3 linked regions of the Drosophila melanogaster genome follow. The protein of the gene in region 2 interacts with the protein of the main gene of each other region in a pairwise test. Each region holds a gene or a part of one and is shown on either strand. Other genes may lie near its edges.

Region 1 (6,851 bases), on a different chromosome or scaffold from region 2:
ACGCCATACTCTTCGGACCTTGTGGGATAACCATTTCGGCATGAGCCCAGAAGCTGGTGTGATAAAAGCGATAGTGGTATCATAATCTAATCAGCTGTCATCATGACTAAATTAAAGATCTATAACTTAGACGTGCTTAAAAAATATAATAGAATAAATGGAAGCATTTGGTATTGCTTTTAGGAACTAGTAAAAAGGGAAATTCCATACTTAAAATACATACAGCTTAATAGCAAATTAAACTAAATGTAGCGAAAGGGTATAGACGCTTCGTTAAGCGGTCATAACCAGCTGCCTCTTTGGCTCGGTGCTTAGGTTCACTTTTGGCGTGTAGCTGCCAAACAGGTAATGTGGCCAGTGGACTGGAGGCTGGGCCCTCACGCACATTTCTTTGGATACACACACGTGTGGCTTCTTCTGTTGTTTGGCAAGCCCCTTCATTCGTTTCTCTTCCGTCTCTTTGCAGCTCCCTGTGATGCACCTGTCACACGGCCAACTGAAAGTGGTGCTCATTTTGGCCCTGCTGCAGGAGCTGCAGGTGAAGCCGCAGCGAGAGGTGTTCCAGGAACTTTTCGAGAAGGATCTGCGCTTGTGTCCAGACTGTTTCGTTGGACAGAGTGAGCCGTGCGGGGAAATCTTCCAGAAAATTGCAGAGCCCTCGGATTGGAGTAGACTTGTGAAAGCCATTTCGTTGCTCGTTGATCGCCGAGCGATTTACTTTCTAAGGCTAAAAGACCGGGATCAGGAAGTCCAGCTGGTGGCCAAAAGAAAAATCATTGATGCACAGAGTAATCAGATAAAAAATGTGAAAAAAGATTTCTATGAACTAGAGGAGCGACCTGGTGGTTTTCATCTCTGCCGAACTCTGGCAAGGGAACCCCGCTTTGTTTCGTACTTGGAGCAGCGTGGACATGCTGCCGCCAGTGTGTGGTTCTACATGATGTACTACGTTAGTCCGCTGCTTATGCAGGAACTGCATCTGCAGGGATTTCCAGTGCCTACCACCTACGCCTCCTGCGGACTAACACATTTTCAATCCAATGCAGGACGTACTTTAGCTCATTACGTCGATGCTGAAGAAGGTTTGCGTGTGGAGCTGGCTCTCCAGTTGATCCAGCTCTCCCTCAAGCTGACTTTTGGATTCGCGGACTTTCGCATTATCTTAACCGATTTCACGGCCGATAATTTGGCTTACGACGAAGACACCAAGAAGGTGTACCTCATTGATTTGGACTCCGTGGTCCTGGTGGACGCTTCGTTCGCAGCAGGACATGCCGAAAAGTACGAGCCGCTGACCGGCGAGGGATTCACATTTGATGTCTCTGCATTCTGCTCCGGCCATCAGCTGGATGCCAATATCTACCAGGCGTGCCTTTTGCTAAGGGATTACTTGCTTAAGAATTTGGACAACGAAAAGCTGCAGCTGCTCCTGGAGCAGTGTGTAGCATGCCAAGATGACTTCTGTGATATGCGTTTCCAACATGCTTACGACCTAATAAAAGTGCTGGAAAGCAATAATTAAAGCCAATCGTTGGAGATCCACTAGTAAATAATCGTTTATAATCATAAAACATATTCTTCATTACACTCAATTTAATGCCTAAATGAACCTCTTACGCCGAACTTTGAAGGATTTGGGAAGTGGGGTTACCAGCAACAAAGTGCTATCCGCGTAACGTTGGACTAGGACGGGCGTCGGTTCAGAGCTTAGATAATATCACGTGGCACACTCAGGAAGTGTATGGAATTGGACACATGATGTGTGATGTCCGTTAGTGTCTCCTTGTGCACGCCCCCGAAGAGGATGAGCTCGCCGTTGCCAGCAATGAGGCTCGAGAGGATTAGCCGATCCGGAGCACCCTTAAGCACTCCGAAGTTTTTGTATTCCACCCACTCGAGGGCGGGTTCGCTGCTGTCCAAAATGCCGGAGATGTCACACACGAACAGGGATTGCACATTGCAGCGCAATCGTTTGGGCGAGGGTGCGCGCAGCGGTTGTGGTTCCACTTGGGCGGCCGCCGGTGCGCTGCGTCGCGAATTGCGAATGGCGTTCATCTTCTCCTCCATGCGTCGTATTCGCTCGTTGTGATCCCGCGAAGCACTCCGCGATCGTGTGGGCACATTGAAGGCGGCCATTCGAAAGGGATCCTTTTGAAACAGGAAATAAATAAGAGGTCCATGATAGGCGCACTTAAAATCACTCACCTCATAGAGCTCATCGAAACGTTTTGGTAGCCTAGGTTCATTATCACGACACCTTAGAGCTAAATTTCTTTGCAAACGCTGTGCGGCATCCACATCGCCGTCGGCGGGAGATGGCGGAGCATTTGGTCGCACTGGCGGGGATGGAGGAGAAGCAGCTGCAGCCGCAGCTGGCGGGGCATGCAGATCACTCAATCTTCCCGAGCGCGGTTGGTAATTATTGTTATTATTGTTCACATTGCTGTTGTGCAGGAATTGCTGCGCTTGCTGCATGTGTTGATTAAGAATTGCTCTCCGGTTAGCCAAATACTGTTCTTGAGGACCCAGTGCAGCTGCTGCACCTCCCACTCCAGGACGGATGTTTCCTCCGCGATTTTGGCCAGGTCCACCCAATCCACCTCCACCTAGTCGACGATCCGGAACTGGTATCCGGTATCCCCTTGGAGGTACATTTTGAAGAGGATTCGGCGGCGGAGGTCCACGGCCTCCAACGACGGGGACTCTGCTTTGCTTCATCATTTGGAAGTCCTGCGGCATGTTGGGCGATGGGCCCACGACCACCAGGTAGTTGTTGACCTTGCAACCGGGATTGCACCACATGTGGACGGCTCCAAAGCGCTTGTTGCGCACAGCAATAGACTTCCAGCTCCATACATCCCTGGTCATGTCCAGCAGCCAGGCATCAGTGTACACGCGATTGGCACCGCCACATCCTCCCACGATCAGCAGATGGTTCCTTCCCAACTCCACCTGTATTTGTCCGTATCGCGGACTGGGTCGCGTGTTGCCCACAAAGAGCGGCTGCCACCAGCGCTGCTCCGGCAGATCCAGTACCCATGTGTCGTTCGAGTTCACATTGAAATCGTCTTTGATCTGGTAACCACCAAAAACTACCATCCGATCGCCATGTACCGTGGCCGAGTGTCCAGCCATCGGTGGTGGGGAAGATAGGGAGCTTCGCAGCAGCCAACGGTTCTTTCCAAGATCGTAGTAGTGCAGCTCGTCAAATAAGCACCATGGTTGGTAGGGCGGATGTAGCGAGGGGTATCGCCATCCGCCAAAGAGTATCAGCTGGTTCCGCCACGCCACCATTGATGCACTGCCCTTGGGCGAGGGATAGGTTCCTGTGGCCACTGGCCGCGCCCACCGCATGTGCGTCAAATCAAAGCGCCACAGATCGTTGAAGGTGGTGTCCGACGAGGATCCACCGCCGAATACGTACATGGAGTTGTCTTGCCGCACAGCCGAATGAGCAAATCTTCCGGCAATAAAGGATAATAGTGCTCCTGCCCCGCCATTGACTGTCTGCTGGGAAAACACCTCCCAGCGCAGTCGAAAGTCGATGAGGCCCTTCTCGAGATTGTGTCTGGAACGACGCACAAGGTCTGCAAAGGATAAGAAGTTAGTTAAGTTGTATTATATTCGCACTTTCCAGATGCCCACTCTTCACAATGGCGTGCCATCGCTTGCACACCAGGCTGCAGTGCTCCAAGTCGCCGTAGGGTGGCAGGTAGGTGAATATGAACTCCAGTATCTCATCGGGAAGGACATTCAGATTTACAGCGGCCAAGGTCGCCCCGCAATTGTCGTTCTCGCCGTCGACCTTGTATCTGCTCGCGTCCATCCTTTGTGATGTCCTTGCTGCCCCCTTTCTTCGTGGCTTTCGTGGTGTGCTTCACCCTCGGATGCTGCACCACAGAAGCAGCAATAGGCAGCGAATGATTTTAAGTCGCTGAACTTATATGCTGGCTTGAACTCCAGATGATTTTCGGGTTTTTATACAACAAAAATAAATTATAACATAAACAGTAGCTGCGAACAGTGTGACCGTGCTGAAGTCAGAAACATACAAATGGTCACAATAAAAATACCAAAATTACAGGCTTCATATCATATATTTATTTCTGATCAACTTTGGAATGACAGATTATTAATAAAGGTTTTATTTTTCAAAATACGTGAAATCAAGTAAATTCGCCTACTTTATTGTTCAAATTGCCAAACAGCTTTTTCATACAACAAACAACATGCAACATCCAGTGGATTTGCGCTATTAGCAAAGCTTGCTCATCTCTGTTGTGCGCGTTTCGTAGCGAATGGCAAAAGCCAAAGTAATTTCACGTGTTGCTTTTAAATTGTTTATTTCTCATTAACCGCCAAAATGAGTGCAACAAATGACAAAAAAGTTGTGATAAATAAACGATTAAAAGGCTTAAGCCGAGAGGCACTTGAAAAACTGACTCAAACCGAGCTGATCGACAAGGTTATCCAACTGGAGGCCTATAACTTTCAGTTGCGGAATCTGCTGCAGAAAAAGTTAAGCGAGAAAGATAAACATGATAAGGAATACTCTGGATTAATTGGAAACGAAGCGGAGGGCAAAGTTAGCCAGGTGGCCAAGACATCCAGCAAAGTGCAGAAGATACGTAAGTTCGATTGGAGCAGGTATGTTGTGGAACCATTTCCAGATTGGATCAAGCTCCATGATTCAATTTTTTCAGTGCACACAAGCGTCATGTCTTGCTTAAGATTACCTACTTTGGTTGGGATTATCAAGGATTTGCCTGCCAGGAGGATTCCAATGATACTATCGGTAGGTTCTGAACACAAATCTTATAGATTTTTGCTAAATCTTTTGCTTTGCCACAGAATCCAACTTGTTCCGCGCTCTAGCTCGTACCTGCCTCATCGAATCTCGCGCCACTTCCAATTATCACCGCTGTGGACGCACAGACAAGGAGGTGAGCGCCTTCTGCCAGGTTATCTCCATAGATCTGCGCAGCAAGCATCCGCCCGAATCCCAGCTGGATCCCACAGCGCTTTCCTCCGAGATTGACTACTGTGGACTCCTGAATCGAGTGCTGCCCAAGAACATTCAGTGCGTGGCTTGGATGCCACTGCGCAGTCCGGTTTATAGCGCTCGATTTGATTGCGTTTCCCGCACCTATCGTTACTACTTTCCTAAGGGTGACCTGGACATTGCTGCCATGCGTAAAGCCTGTGATCTCCTAGTGCGTCACGCCGACTTCCGTAATTTCTGCAAAATGGACGTGCACAACGGAGTAACCAACTACATGAGAAACTTGCAATCTGCCAGGGTGGAAGCTTGTGATCAGACAAATCATACAAATTCAGGTTTGTTCCTGAGCAAAAGCTTTAGTTCTAAAAGATTATAAAGCGCCATATTCCACAGGCTACGACATGTACTACCTGGAGATTCAAGCAAATGCCTTCCTTTGGCACCAAATCCGTTGCATAATGGCGGTGCTTTTACTTGTTGGCCAAAAAAAGGAAAACCCGGGCGTAATAAGTGACCTGCTTGATGTGGAGTCTAATCCCTGCAAGCCTCAGTACACCCCCGCAATTGGATTGCCCTTAAATCTGTTTCGTTGCGACTTTCGAGACCACACAACAAGAAGTGTAAACCATCCAAGCAGCGGTGATGCAGACGAAGAAGCCATGGATACAGCCGCCGACGAATCAAATGACTTAAATGCTCCGGAGCACTTGGAGCGTGATCTTACAGCGTGGATTTACAATGAGGAAAATCTACAAAAGCTTATTGAAAACACCCAGTGTGAGTGGACGCAATTTAGCGTTAAGAGCACCATGATACGCAATGTGCTGCAACAATTGGAAAACTTATTTGAAGAGAATTTTAAGCCAAAAGAGAAGGTACTGGCTCAGGTAATCCTGTTGCAAGATTCCGTCAATCCGCGTCAATATCAGCCTCTTTTAGAACGCAAACGATGTGGTATGTATTGAATGCACACTTATTTTTTGTTTACTAAAATCAATCATTTTTTCCAGAGAGTTTGGAGAACCGGATAGAGCATTTTGTAAAAAAGCAACGACTGATTGTGAAGAATGAAACGGAAACAGAGTGATTTATTTTAATATAATGTCATTGAAACAAAACGTATATTGCTTTTCAGGTAAATATATTAAGGTTGTATGTAAATAGAACTTGTACAACGTTTCGAACCTTAGCCTAGTCTAGAATGGGTAAATAATTTAAAATTGTAACTCCATACAATTCTTTACATACTATTTGGGATTCTAGTTTCTAAATAGAGTCTGTGTATAAGTATAGTTCTTGCAAGGGGCTTTGTACGATTACAAAAAAGGCTTCACTTAATTAGAGAAGCTACCATTTAACTTGGTTAAACGATGCAGGTTGTCCATAATTATGTATTACCATGGGAATAAGTCAAATACGGGCATTAACTAGCACTAGCAACCCATCGATTTAGCTTTCTGTAATCTGCAAAAAAAAGTGGAACATTAGTTTTCAAATAAAAATAATAGTTTCCTCAAATGTACTTACTTTCTTCTTAAGATTTTTAGCACAATGGTGCCCTCTCTTACGTTCTTAAAGAGTCCTATGGTTTCGGCATGACTCATGCCCTGCACAGAGTTTCCATTGATCTCTACAATCTCGTCGCCTGTTTGGAGTGTATTTTAGTTGTGGCTATAGATATCGAAAAGCCTTTAAAAAAAAAACTTACCCGCTTGCAGTGTGCCATCATCGGCTGCCTGGCCTGAGGGAAACACGGTCTTTACAAAAATTCCCATGTTGCCCTTTGGCGAATCTCGACCTCCCACTATGCTGAAGCCCAACGATTTCAGTCCAGGTCCCTTAAAGAAGG
Region 2 (7,113 bases):
TGTCGCAGTTCGACACGCGACTTATTGAGCTGGTTAGGGCTAATCCCAAGCTTTATGAGCGCGAACTTAGAAACGCACCCTACGAAGCGCATAAGAAGCGACATCCGGAAATCTGGAGCAGCATCGCCACTTCATTAAATTCAGAAGGTAAGAAACTGATAAATTGTATAAATATTCCCTAATTCCTCATTATATTTTAACTTAGCTAGTGCCTGTGTCAGTCGTTGGAATCATCTGGTGGCCAAACAGCGTCGGGAGCTGGCCAAAGAAAAGGCCGGAGGCACTGGCTCCGATTGGAGTCTTCTGCCGCATTTGAAATTCCTGCAGCATCACCACCATCCGATTAATCACCGAAATTCGGGTGATCTGAGTAGGAGCACACTGAAATCCAGCGACGAGGTCAACGATGATGAGGATCCGCTCCAGGAGGCCATGGATGAGCAGCTGGCCGTTGCGGGAGCTGCACCAGCACCACCCACAAATCCTGCCCATGCAACGCCAGTGGCTCAAGCAGAAAAGAGGATAGAAGCCCTGCTTGAAGGACTGGGCGAAGCAAACCGAATTAAGGCGGAGAAACGCATTCTGGCCTACCTATGCAAATGCAATCTGCGCGCCCTGAACGACGAGCAAATCGATGATATAGTTATTTAGGAAGATTGCCAAGATGATATAGTTATAAAGGAAGATTGCCATGATGATAAGTTAAATACATACATGCCGTGATAGGATATCAAAAGTAGCAAACATCACTGATCATATAATTGTTTAATAATTAAGTCATTTTTGTTATAGTTTATATATCTGGACAATTATCTTAAGCGAATACTAAATAACTTCTTTTTCCAAATGTATGCTTCCCTAAAAAATATTGTTAATCCATTCATTTAACCTAATCTTCGCATCTAATGAAGTTTACTATACAAACTAACTATTGCATTGTATGATATGATAAAACATTAACACGCCTGTGATTAAATAGTTTATTTTATTTGAGGCTTAAGATTAGCAATTTAAAATTCAAGACAACTGGTAAACCCCAAACAAAGCATCAATTGTCGCCAGAGGTCATTTATAGAGCCAGAGACTTGCGGGAGTGTATAGTAATGCAGTAGGAAGCTATCTGTGTGGCAAAAGCCAACTTTGAACAGGCGGGCGGGGAGCAGGTGGAGTAGGCGAGGGAAAATCGAATTGAGCCACGCCAAAAAACTCCTACTATGACGCAGCTGCTGCTGGGAACTGGTCAAAGAGTCAAAGAATGCGCGCGCAAGCAATAACATGTCCAATATCCATGTCTGGATCGGATCGGGGGAAGGCCTCCAGCACGGGGACAGGGCGACGACGACGCCAAAACAAGCATTTAGTTTATTAATTTGACGACTGCCGCAGGGGGAGCAGTGGGCCGAAACAAAAACATAACGAGCGAGGAGCGTCGTGCACCCTTAACGACTGATGCCACACTACCACTACCCCCTCGTACCGACTGAGTCCCCCTTACTTCACACGTACATGGTGAACCCTCCGACGCACTAAGCCACTATATGAACCAACTACTCCTACGGCCAGCCACCTACCCACTAGACCATTCCCATTCCCAATCCCCGGACTCAGCTCTTGGTATTAACACCGTATTATCGATTGATTTCCAGCACAAGCACACAACAAAAATCAATAGGCTGCCAGAGCCAAAATCAAATATTGTACAGTTCTGTGATTGTTTAGTTCAGTGTTGTCGTAAAAGTTATAAACAATTTGTAGACTCGAATGTATACTTACGCCTTAATAAATGGATTTTCAAAGTACGCGCCCAAAACGTTTAAATGCTACATTTAACTGGAAATTCACCTTGTCTCGCCTCTTGGTTTTTTTATTTGGTTTAAAATCTCTTTAAATCACTGGATGAATTGGATGGAGTCCGTGGATTTTTGGGGGACCGTGCTTGTTCGTTATTTGTTGTCAATTAATAATTTGTTATTGCTCTTCATTGAGAACGCTGGGGAAAACCGTGCGACTTGGACTTTTGAGCTGGGGAAACTGCGCAGCGCGTCGCTTGAGCTTTCGCGTTGGTGGCCACCGAACGAATAAAATCGCAGTCAAAGAAACAGGACCAAAAGGACTCTCCCAGGCGAGAGAGAGAGAGAGAGAGAGAGCGATTGAGATTGACGGGGTGCGAGCCACGGGATGCGACAGTGAGAGAGAGAGAGAGAGGGAGCAGCCCTCGTCCTCACGTGCGCATTGTTATTGTTGTGGTTGGTTCGAAGTTGGATACGAAGCGCGCGTAAAATTGATTTCCTGAGCATATTGATTTTCGGTATCTCACTTGGCCTACACCGCCTCCTCGGCCCCCTGAGTTTCCGCCTGCTCAGTTTCCTGCCCATCCTCGTCGGCCACCTCCTTTACCACCTCCATTTGTTCCTCCTGGGTTCCTACCGCCTTCTTTTCATTGTCCTCCTTAGCCATTGCCTGTTTCTCCAACTGCGTTTGCGATGCTGACGATGTGTCCTGCTTTAAGAGTTCTCGCAAAAACATGGTGGCATAGGCAGCCGTGGGCAGCGAGAACTCCAGCAGGAGTGCCATGTAATTGGCCTCAGCTTCAGCTGGTTCTGGTGCAACCGGAATGTTCTTCAATAGCTCCCAGTCGGAGGCGATAAGTGTATCCTCCGGCGTATTGTACATTCTAAAGCTCCACTTGAGATCACTGGACGATATGATCATCTTGCGGTAGGCGCCAGCCAATGCGTATGTCTTCTCCTTGTGCTTCAGTTGATCCGAGGAAAGACCCACTTCGGCGAGCATTTCCTCGTACCACGCGCCGCACTCGTTGCTGGGATAGGTGATGTCGTGTCCAGGCAGGGGAAGGACCACATCGCAAAGTTTGTACTTGCCGCTAGCGATGTCTTCTGCTGTGAGCGGGCGAACCTTTCGCTTGAAAATCGACTCCTCTTCGATGGCTTCATCCCCTTCGGGGACTTCCAGAGGTTCATCGTTAGGCTCCTCTTCTTTTTGCTCTTCCAAGGCCTCGCCCTGCTGCGCCTGCTCTTCCGAGGCTTCCGACTGATCCTGCTCCACATAAACCAAATCCCCGGGTATCAATTTCAAGCCGAACTCCTTAATTCGTCTAGACGCTATCCTGTTGAAGATCAGGCTTTGGTAAGCATGTGGATATAGCATGAGCATGTTGCGTGGTATCTGCCGCAGAGCTGATGAGTAATCTGATTCACCAAATCTGGCCAAGCCGTCCAGCAGCTTCTTTTCGATGAACTTTTCGCCGTAGATCTGTGCAGCTGCCGCCGCGGAGTCGCGATTTTTCCACCACTCCTCGCGTATGGGACGCAAAAACTCCACATCCGAGTCCCGGGGTTTCAGGATCAGTTCGCAGGCCAGTTTGTAATCGTGCTTGAGCAGAGCAACACCCACCTCATAGGTTGGGACACTGGCGCTGTTGCCGAACCGCTGCAAGCCATAGTAGTTGATGAAGCCGCGTTCCTTCAATGATTGCAGTGCCTGCTCGATTTCTTCTCGCTTCTCCTTGGCAATGTGTCGCAAGGCAATACGAAAACGATTGCCCTGCAAATCGCCTAGCTTCAGTGTATTGGATTCGAATCCAAAGTTGCCGATATGAACATTCCGTTGGGAGCGAGCTGCAACCAAAATGCTCTCTGGTGTACGACGCTTGACGGAGAACTTCTGGGTGGTTTTGGCCCGCTTGTCCTTGATGCCGCTGTAGTTCACCTGCGATGGTCGTAAGCTGTAGAAAAATAATGTTTTCTTAGTATATTAAAGCATTTAAAATTTGATCAAACTTACTTCAGTCGCGCTGCTAAAGTAGAGGCCACATCGCTGGTAACCAAATTGGTTTTGTGCACCAGGAAGGTCACGTAATCCGCCGGAAAGCTCCAGCGTTTGTCACCTATGGAATTCGATGCATAAAAAAAGGAATTCCCTGGGTAATCATTTCTACTAACCGCGTCCTGGCTTTGGTTTAAATACTTTTATAGTCTTCTTCTCCTCTGCCGGCACCTGTGAGTCTTTCTGGGTTGAGGTTTCACCTTCAGCCGCATCCTTATTTTCCAAAGATGCCTCCTCCTGGACCTTCGGCTTAGCCTGCTGCTGTCCAATGGTTGTGGACAGTAGCTTGCCCTTGTAAAGCTGTTTTATCATCTGGTGGACTTGTGTTCGCTGCTCCTTATCCAGAGTGGTCACATCAATCTCCACCTTTTGCTCGATCGCGGGATCGTTTTTGGCCTTAGCCAGATTGGCTATATCCTGCCAAACTTCCGGGCCGATTACTGCCTCCAGTTCTTTCCGCCAGTTGTCCAGTTCGTTTTCGGCCACAGCTGTTATAGTATGAGATGCATGAGCATAAGCAAGTATGCAGGATAATTGGTGAATACAGACCCACAATAGCCACTTTAGGCACACTGAGATCGTTCAGTTCCAGAACCTTTCCATTGCTATCAATCTCGTTCACGTGAAAATCAGAGAAGCGAGACTTAAGTATTCCCGTGAAGCCAGGTGCCTCCGGGTTAGTGAACTCCGTAATGCCCACTTGGGTCTCCAGCAGCGTGGATTTCTGTTGTGGAGCACTTTTGTCCAACGAAAAACGCCGGTTAACAACGATATTATTTATGGGATTTAATTTGTACCTGTTGCGCTGACCGCCACCATTGTTTTGGGGGCGATCCTTCTTCTGACCACGCCAGTTGCTCTTGTTGTATGGCCCGGAATGGTTATTCCTACGTCCTCTGCCCCGATCCTTGCCCATCTTGGTTCAAAATTCGCGTTTGAAAATTTGTCGGCAAATGAAATCCACGTTTTGCACAACATATGATGTGCCCATTCACAATAAGCTTTTTAGGTTTATTAGGGTGGCCGCATGTGCCATTTATTCGGGAAATAGATTTCTTAAATGGTTGTTAGCATAAGTTCATCCGCAAATATTCCTCTTTTTTTATATTGTATGATAAATATAATTTAAAAACATGCTTAATATTAACATATCATAAAACTTTTGTTAGTATATTTTCCTCATTTATACTTCAGTATTTTTTGGTATTTTTCTGGTCCCAGATCAAGTTCACACTGCGTACGTAATGTAAAGAAAATGTGCAATACAAAGAAGCATTGGAAAGAAGTGTAAAAATTGAGAAATAACCAAAAATTGGAACGGATTAATTCATTAGGTTAAGCCAAGGAAGCAACGAAATGTTGCCGCATATAAGTGCCGACGAGGCACAGCCGTCTATGTCGCGAAAGGTGTACATCAATCCGAATTTTCAGCTGCAAGGTCAAACGGCGCATCAGCTGCCGTTCCAAGTGCCCTTCCAGGCGTTCCAGGCGCCACTGCAGCCTCAGCCCGCGATCCATATCAATCCGCACTTTCTGAATCGCCAGCGGGCCATGTACGACCAATACCAGCGGGAGCAGCAGGAGCAGCTTATGATGCAACAAGTTTCCGCCTCGCACTATCGACTGGATCCAACGATACACCTACTGGCGACTCCACCTCCTCCGCCCGCCAAGATCATCAGCAAAGTGAGCACGTGTCTCGTGCGCAAGCCATCAGTGGTGGCAAGTGGTCCGGCGGTGAAGCTCGCTGCTTCAGTACCTGTGCCCACTGTTTCCAGCCTGGTGCAGCCTCCATTGGTAAGCATTTCCAAGCGGAAAATTGTGAGGCAAGGAGCATTGAAAGCAGCGCCAGCGGTTGCTGCCCTCCATCCTCCTCCACCTGCTAAACGCACTAGGTACAAATTAGTGCGTTCCATATCACTTACCTGCACACCGCTGGTCAAAAAGCGTCGTCCTCTACGCGAGTTTGTGGGCCAGTACGCCCTGAGACGCACCAATGAAGCGCAGCCCAACAGAAAACTGAGGTAATGAAAATCGGATACGAGCAGTTGAAAATAGTCAAGCAACAGGCGACTCTGTTAGACAAGGTAATGTACATCAACTAACTTAACTTTTATTACAGCTCCAAGCCGCAGGCGCTGAAGCTGGGCGTTAACAAATCCCTGAGCATGGTCAGCATACACGGTGTGATGTACAAGAAGATATCGAAGAACAAAATAACCAAGCTGGATGCCAGTTCCTCCGCTAGGGTAGCCAAATCGGAGAGTCCCAGGACCTTGCAGCGTACCTTGTCCGGCAGAACGCTCTTCGTCAGCGGCAATAAGTTCATTTTAGATCCTTCCGGCTGCCGCCTGACCAGAGTTTCAACCTCATCAACTGGTGCTACCCAGAGTAGCGTAAATCGTAGCATCCTGAGGCGCATCGATATCGGCGGCCTTACCTACGTTGCTTCGCCAAAGGCACTGAATGTCTTTGTACGCACCAGTAATCACGTGTCGCGAGCCCATTTAATCACCGCCAAACAGAGAAGCCTGACGTTGCTCAACAAATCGTTGGTGAAGACCAATGTGCCTTGTGCCATCTTCCAGAAGCTGGGCAAGTGCGTTGCCCATAGTCGTGGCAAGTGCCGCAAGCTGCACGACAAGCGGCAGGTTGCCATCTGTGTCAGGTTTGTCCTTGGCCAAGCGAAGAGTGCTAAACCTTCGATGGCGTCCAATGTTCGAAATTCGCAATGCGGTTATCTTTTTGAAATCATTTACTTGCAGCTTTCTGCGCGGGGAGTGCACCAAACCCAAATGCCTGCTGTCCCATAATGTCACGCTGGAGAAGATGCCCGTCTGTCGGTACTATTTGCGCGGCGTTTGCGTTCGCGAGGATTGCCCGTACCTACACAAGAAGCTGAGCAGCAAGACCGAGATTTGTATTGACTTTGTGCGCGGCTACTGTCCGTTGGCTGCCGAGGTAAATAGGTCTGCCACTTATTTTCATTGAAAACCTATTAACTCCAAAACATTTTAAGTGCAACAAACGTCACGAGTTTTCCTGTCCCGAGTTGGAGCGCAAGGGCAAGTGCGAATTACCCAGGTGCGTGTTCTGTAAGAAGTCGCCATCAAAGCGATTGGCCAAAGTCAAGTCGCGTCCCAAACTGGGCAGTAAACCTGTCGCCTTCACGGATACCGCGAAAGAATCGTCTACAGCGGATGAGTTGCCCACCAGTTCACGCTACTTTGGGTCCCACAAGGAACCAGCGGAAGCAATATTGACTAG
Region 3 (5,617 bases), on a different chromosome or scaffold from region 2:
TATTTCCCTACGAGGTTTTGAAATTTCTTGACGTTAGAGTAGGCGTAGCCCAAATATTTAAAAAAAATACCTTTTTTTTATAAGTTGCCAGTTCACAGCTTTTAGCGTTTTGTTGCCGTTATGGCGTGCAATGAAAAAAATTGATGAGCTAGGTGTCACTAGAATCTCCATGTTTGATTCCAACATTTCAGCCCGAATAGGTCCGGACAAACAGACGAACGTGGTTGGATTGACTTCGCTCTTAATCCCGATCAAGAATATACATGTGTATACTTTATATGTTCGGATTCGCATCCTTTTTCCTTTCAGATACTGTAAAATCCCAAATGAGAAGACTTTACTCGTTGAGTTTTTGTAAGAAAACTGCTTTTATTTGGAAATATCTTCGGTTTAAATAGATGACATGAGAATCACATCTTAAAGTAAATGGCCTTCGCAGAGGCCTAAGTAAATAGTCCCCGCCTTATCAAGGTCCCACCCTCCGGCTCATCTGCCTATATTGAGCGGCGAGGACCTTATCTGTGGTCTCCCACTAAGGGACTATTTTAGGAGGCGGGGAACGATCTCAAGTGACTGACTCATGTGGTGTGCACATGATTTTGAGCACTGCACCCATGTCGCCTTAGATAACAAAATCCTAAATATAAATTATCGCTCTCGATTCATTTACATAAGATATGAACGGATACTTTGATACAGTCACAATTGTCTCAGTAATTTTGCACATGTAAGATTCTCCCTCAAAAAATTTCCTGGATTACTTTTATTTCGACACTTTGCGATTTGAGCCCTTCAGCTGAATAACTGAACTGAGAAGCTCAGAACTGCAACACTTGAGTTTGTGTAGCAATGTGGAAAGGGCTCTCGGCTTGAAAGCGCAATCGTTAAGGGATAAATAACGTTTGTTCTTAGAGGAAAACAACTTTGCCAATGTCACACGAACAAGAATATATTAGAGTATATATGTATGTATATACATATATATTGTAGGTAAAGCGATTGAACCGCTTCAGCAATTGTATTGTCAAAACATTGGTCTGCCTATACTTAAAAAGTAACAACGCTTATTCGTTAAATAAGATACGTTCTTATAGCATATAGAAAAGTGGAAACTCACATCTTTTCTCATGGTGAGGACCACCACTACGTTGGTCTAAGCCATTTATAATATTAGAACATGTGAATTTCATTTTAGCTATATAAGCTTGAACAATGAAATAAAAATGCAGTTTGAAATATCAACTCAACGAATGCAGACATATGCTTAGTTTGCAGCCTCTTTAAAAGTATGCTTTTAAAAATAGTTTCTGAACCCAACGTAAAAATTTGGAAAAGAACTGAATATGGCTCTTAATTCCTAAATGCAAAAATAGTAATAATAATAAAGAAACTCATTTACAAACTTTTTATCAACTTTTGCATGTTTAAGTTTTGTCCTTAGGATTTTTAATATCCTTCTGAAAATATTTGTTATGCCCCAAATTCTCCCTTTATTTGAATTTTATTTTTGACGTAATTATATATTTTAATTGTAATTTTCTTTTTGACGTAATTATATACCTAAAAAACTTTTCAAGTAATCTTGTTTCCAGGCAAAAGATTGAGCTTATGATCAATCCGCTGTCGCCAGATCTTCAAGACTAACATTTATGGAGATAAGGAAATCCATTTGAATTGAGAAAAGAGAATTGCTAATAGCACTATGAGAATTAATTTAAAATTGGCAAATGGGGACTTAAGGAAGCAGATTTTTCTACTACTAACGAATTTGTTGGCATTCTATACTATTGCGAGGTCGCGTGGTTGATAAAAATATTATTTTTGTGTAAACATAATTTAGTAATAATTGTGTTTTTCTTGTTTATATCCCGTGAATAAAGCACTTTGAAGGCATCAATTAAGGAACGTGTTCAAGCTTTTGTAAGCTTGTTTATTCGTTGATTAGAACGCTACAATTTGAAGTGACTAGCTAGTAATGTGACATTAAATTTTTCGGATAACTTTAGTACAATCGCTTGTAGGTCAACAGTAAAACTAACTAAATACTAAACCTATTCCTTGGAGACGGGTTTGCAGGCTATCATGTACACTGGAAAGAGTCCCTTGGGAAAGTTTTGTTGCTTGACCTTGCGTACAATGCGAAATCCGGCTTCCTTTAGGAAGTGTTCATAGCTGTCCAGAGGCCTCGTTACCGACGAGTCGTTCCTATCTTCCACTGTCTTCTTCGAGCTGCTCACGTTCTCCTTCAGACACAAGAAGGCGCCGGGCGCCAGTCCCTGCTTTATGCGTCGAAAGAACGAGACCAGATCGCGGTCCGTGAGATGGCCCAGGACCCACTGGGTCCAAACGAGGTCGTACTGTTGCGTAGGCGTAAACTTCTGCAATCCCACGTTATAGATCTGTCCCACCTTTCCACGGCTTCCGTCTTCCGAAGTGCAGTACTCCCGTGCTTTATCGGCAAACGCGGGATCCTGCTCGACAAGATCCACGCAGCTGAAGCGGGGGATCAGGAGATTCCGAGTCACCCGACCAATGCCAGCTCCGCAGTCGAGGGCCAACCTGTTGCCCGGCACGCGGATCTCGCGCAGGAACACATTCGATCCCTGTATATCTATGGCACTAATGTAGCCCAGGCCGCCGAGCATCCCGTTAACAGTCGCCGGTACCTCAGACCAATATTTTTGTGCCTTATTGTAAAATTCGGACTCCGGTGCGGCGACTTTGGTCGAACTATCGCTCGAAGAAGGGGACGCTGTCTTGGCATCTGAACTTGCGGCTATACTGCTATCATCCTTCTGCTTCGACGACCCCTGGACCTTATCCGTGGTCTCGTCCATCATCTGCAACTTGTCTGAAAGCTGCTCTTCTAATGTAGTCGTCATTTTTGTCAGGATTTCGAAGGCCGCATGCTTTGTTTTGTTTTAGTGCGATAACCAGGGCTCCTAAACACAGTGAGCCATTTAGGTTTTACGAAAGAGTGGCAACCCTTCACCAATCAGCTGTTCAACAAGCAACAAAATTGTCCGTTTGTTTATGTTACTAGTTTTTTGTTTAATTTTTCTATTGTCCGGACAAAATGACTCTCGATTTGGATGCGCATAAGAAAGATGACAAGTTGCTGATCACAACCATACAGCAGGAGTATAAAATTCTGGCCGAATAGTGAGTTTTCAGAGTTCACTGATAACTACGTGGAGTAAAACTAAACTTATTTAATTTCTTATGTTTTAGCAAAATGATTGAGTCGGAGAAGTTGAGTGGGATATATGTGATACCCAGCTATGCTAACTCCTTGCGTTAGTCTACCCACCTGCCAACCTGTATGCAGTCTTTAGCTAATTTTATCTTTTGTTAATAGAGTGGTTTGGAGTCTTCTTTGGCCGACAGGGCTTGTATGCGGAAAGTGTTTTTCGATTCACAATTTTGCTCCCAGATCGTTTTCCCGACGACAAAAGTCTTCCGGTGAGTAGGATCGGCAATAGAGCAAACGTATTTAACTCTACAAGTCCCCTTTAGAGCATAATTTTCCAGCAGGATGTGATTCATCCCCATGTGTGCCCGTACACCCACAGTTTGGACGTGAGCCACGCCTTCCCGGAGTGGCGCTGTGGAGAGGATCACCTTTGGCAGCTTTTAAAGTACCTGCAAGTCATTTTCTCCGATCCCTTGGACAGTATTCGGGGCATTGAGGTAGATAAGCTCAAAAACAGCGAGGCTGCGGAGCTGCTGATGAATAACAAGGAGGAGTATGTTGCTCGCGTACAGGAAAATATCAAGGAGAGCAAGGAGCATATATTTGACACCCCACCCACCGAAGATCCGCACTACATAGTATTCGAGAAGTTCCAGCAGGACGTGCACGGGCCCGTTCTGGAGCGCATCAAGGCCGGAAGAAGCAAGCTGACGGAGCCTTCAGCGCAACAAGCAAATGGTGGACATGCAACTGGTCTGTCATGGGTTAAGGAGGGCGAGTTTAAGCCACTTAGCATTGAGTAAAACCAATATACATATATTCTGTAAGTTATATTCTATCGTTGTCTCAATTTTAAAACGATTAAAGTTATTCAATTATTTACAATCCTCGTTCATGGGAAATCGCTGAGTATTGTTAACCCACTCGTTCTGCAACTCTAAACGTTCTCCGTTCCATTGGAAATGTGTGGGGGAAGCCTCGCCAGCGAGAAACTCAAAGTGCTGGCTGAGCTCGATGGCCAGTTTGGAGCGGACTAGGCCTATTCCGCCCACCTGTGGCGCAGCTGGATGATAGACCCTTCCGTTTCGCGGATCCATGTACAGTTTGTGGGGTTCGTAAGGCAGGGTAAGGACCTGTCCCGCGTGTGCATAGCTGAGCACCTCCGTATCGTCCTTCCTCAGCTGTTCAGTAAACACAACAGGTGTGTCATCGCACCTAATAAAATTCCTTTCGCGGCCACAGAGGGAAATGTATGGAAATTCGCTTTCATATCTGCTCGTTTTGTTTAGCCGCAGTCGGTTGAAAAAGAACTTGAGGAAATCCTTCTCCTTAAAGCAGCTGGTGAAGTTTTTCATCTTTGCATCGTCCAGGAAGAGCTGCAAAACGGGTTATGCGAGTTGAAGCACAGATGCATAGTTGAGAGTCTCACCATTCCCTCATGATCGATATAGTAAAAGTATTCGCGAATTTTTGGCTCCGGAGATTGACCTTGGTTATATTGTACGTAACGGCAAGATATGCTTGGAGATCTAACGAATTTTAGGTTTGTAAGGGATCTAGAACGTAGTATAAACATTGTTCCTCTATCTGAGTACTGTGTCTTCTTATGAGCAACAAAAACAGCTGACTTTTGTTTACTACATCTGTAGGTGCATTTGATAACCTCCCATTATCAATTTAACGTTTTTACAGTTTTGTATTTTCTCAATAGGTAGCGATTATTTTTGCAAGTACATTTTTTGGCAGTCACATATTTTTGCATCGCGAATACAGCGATATACAGAAATGAAAACATTTTATTTAAAAAAAGGTGGCTATGTGACTGTCTATTGAATTCGACATTTGGTCGAAAAGCTCAGGTTTTGCTTAAAATAGCAAAGTGAAAACTACCAAAAAGTATGCTAAGCTTTTATTTAATGAAATATCCGTTAAAAATTTAAAACACAGTTTGGTTTAATTAGTAGTAAATCGTGCAAAATTATAAATAATTTTGAAAATAATAATTATTTCATTTGCAATATTTTATATTTTATATATTGTATATTGTATTTTTAGTACAAATATACAATTTTAAAGGTATCGTAAAATTGGTTTTGGCAAAAATCTGAAAATGTAACTAAAAACATTCCCTTTAGGTAAGTGTTACCGTTTCAATAAAGGTTATATCGTATGGGTATATGGTTTTAATAATAGATTACTTGAAGGTCGCAGCGATCAGCCTTTTACTTCACATTTGTCATATATCAAACCCAATATGAAGTAGTATCAACTTTGGACTTTGATAAATTTATTCTTAAAAATTAATTAACTGTCTTTTTCTTATCACAGTACTTGTTTTTTTATCCTTAGAACGAAATTCATAAGTTATAGTCCAAGGCTCTTAATTATTATGGTTTCGTACCGCAAAAAAACTTGTGGTTAAAA

Evidence for each region.
Region 1: the proteins of Pus7 (region 2) and Fbxo42 interact in a two-hybrid assay, tested with the Drosophila melanogaster proteins (one large-scale study listed by BioGRID).
Region 3: the proteins of Pus7 (region 2) and Ntmt interact in a two-hybrid assay, tested with the Drosophila melanogaster proteins (one large-scale study listed by BioGRID).

What each region holds. Positions count from the first base shown.
Region 1 is NT_033778.4:22,172,112-22,178,962, reverse strand, and holds Fbxo42 (F-box protein 42), read right to left. Parts: upstream 4,042-6,851; 5' UTR 3,827-4,041; coding exon 3,646-3,826; exon of another isoform or gene 3,638-3,645; intron 3,588-3,637; coding exon 2,206-3,587; intron 2,149-2,205; coding exon 1,708-2,148; 3' UTR 1,535-1,707; downstream 1-1,534. Other genes in the region: CG11170 (uncharacterized protein), read left to right, coding at 476-1,522; CG3045 (uncharacterized protein), read left to right, coding at 4,364-4,647, 4,704-4,795, 4,852-5,337, 5,396-5,956, 6,013-6,089; a (arc), read right to left, coding at 6,436-6,466, 6,530-6,647, 6,711-6,851.
Region 2 is NT_037436.4:8,507,734-8,514,846, reverse strand, and holds Pus7 (pseudouridine synthase 7), read right to left. Parts: upstream 4,845-7,113; 5' UTR 4,763-4,844; coding exon 4,644-4,762; intron 4,584-4,643; coding exon 4,396-4,583; intron 4,335-4,395; coding exon 3,963-4,334; intron 3,908-3,962; coding exon 3,805-3,907; intron 3,746-3,804; coding exon 2,323-3,745; 3' UTR 1,840-2,322; downstream 1-1,839. Other genes in the region: CG6683 (uncharacterized protein), read left to right, coding at 1-147, 206-651; ZC3H3, read left to right, coding at 5,203-5,870, 5,969-6,514, 6,612-6,807, 6,866-7,113.
Region 3 is NT_033778.4:9,862,969-9,868,585, reverse strand, and holds Ntmt (N-terminal methyltransferase), read right to left. Parts: upstream 2,955-5,617; 5' UTR 2,883-2,954; coding exon 2,052-2,882; 3' UTR 1,535-2,051; downstream 1-1,534. Other genes in the region: peo (pendolino), read left to right, coding at 3,077-3,162, 3,232-3,296, 3,359-3,462, 3,517-3,996; CG30010 (uncharacterized protein), read right to left, coding at 4,069-4,569, 4,623-4,769. UniProt on the Drosophila melanogaster protein: Alpha-N-methyltransferase that methylates the N-terminus of target proteins containing the N-terminal motif [Ala/Pro/Ser]-Pro-Lys when the initiator Met is cleaved.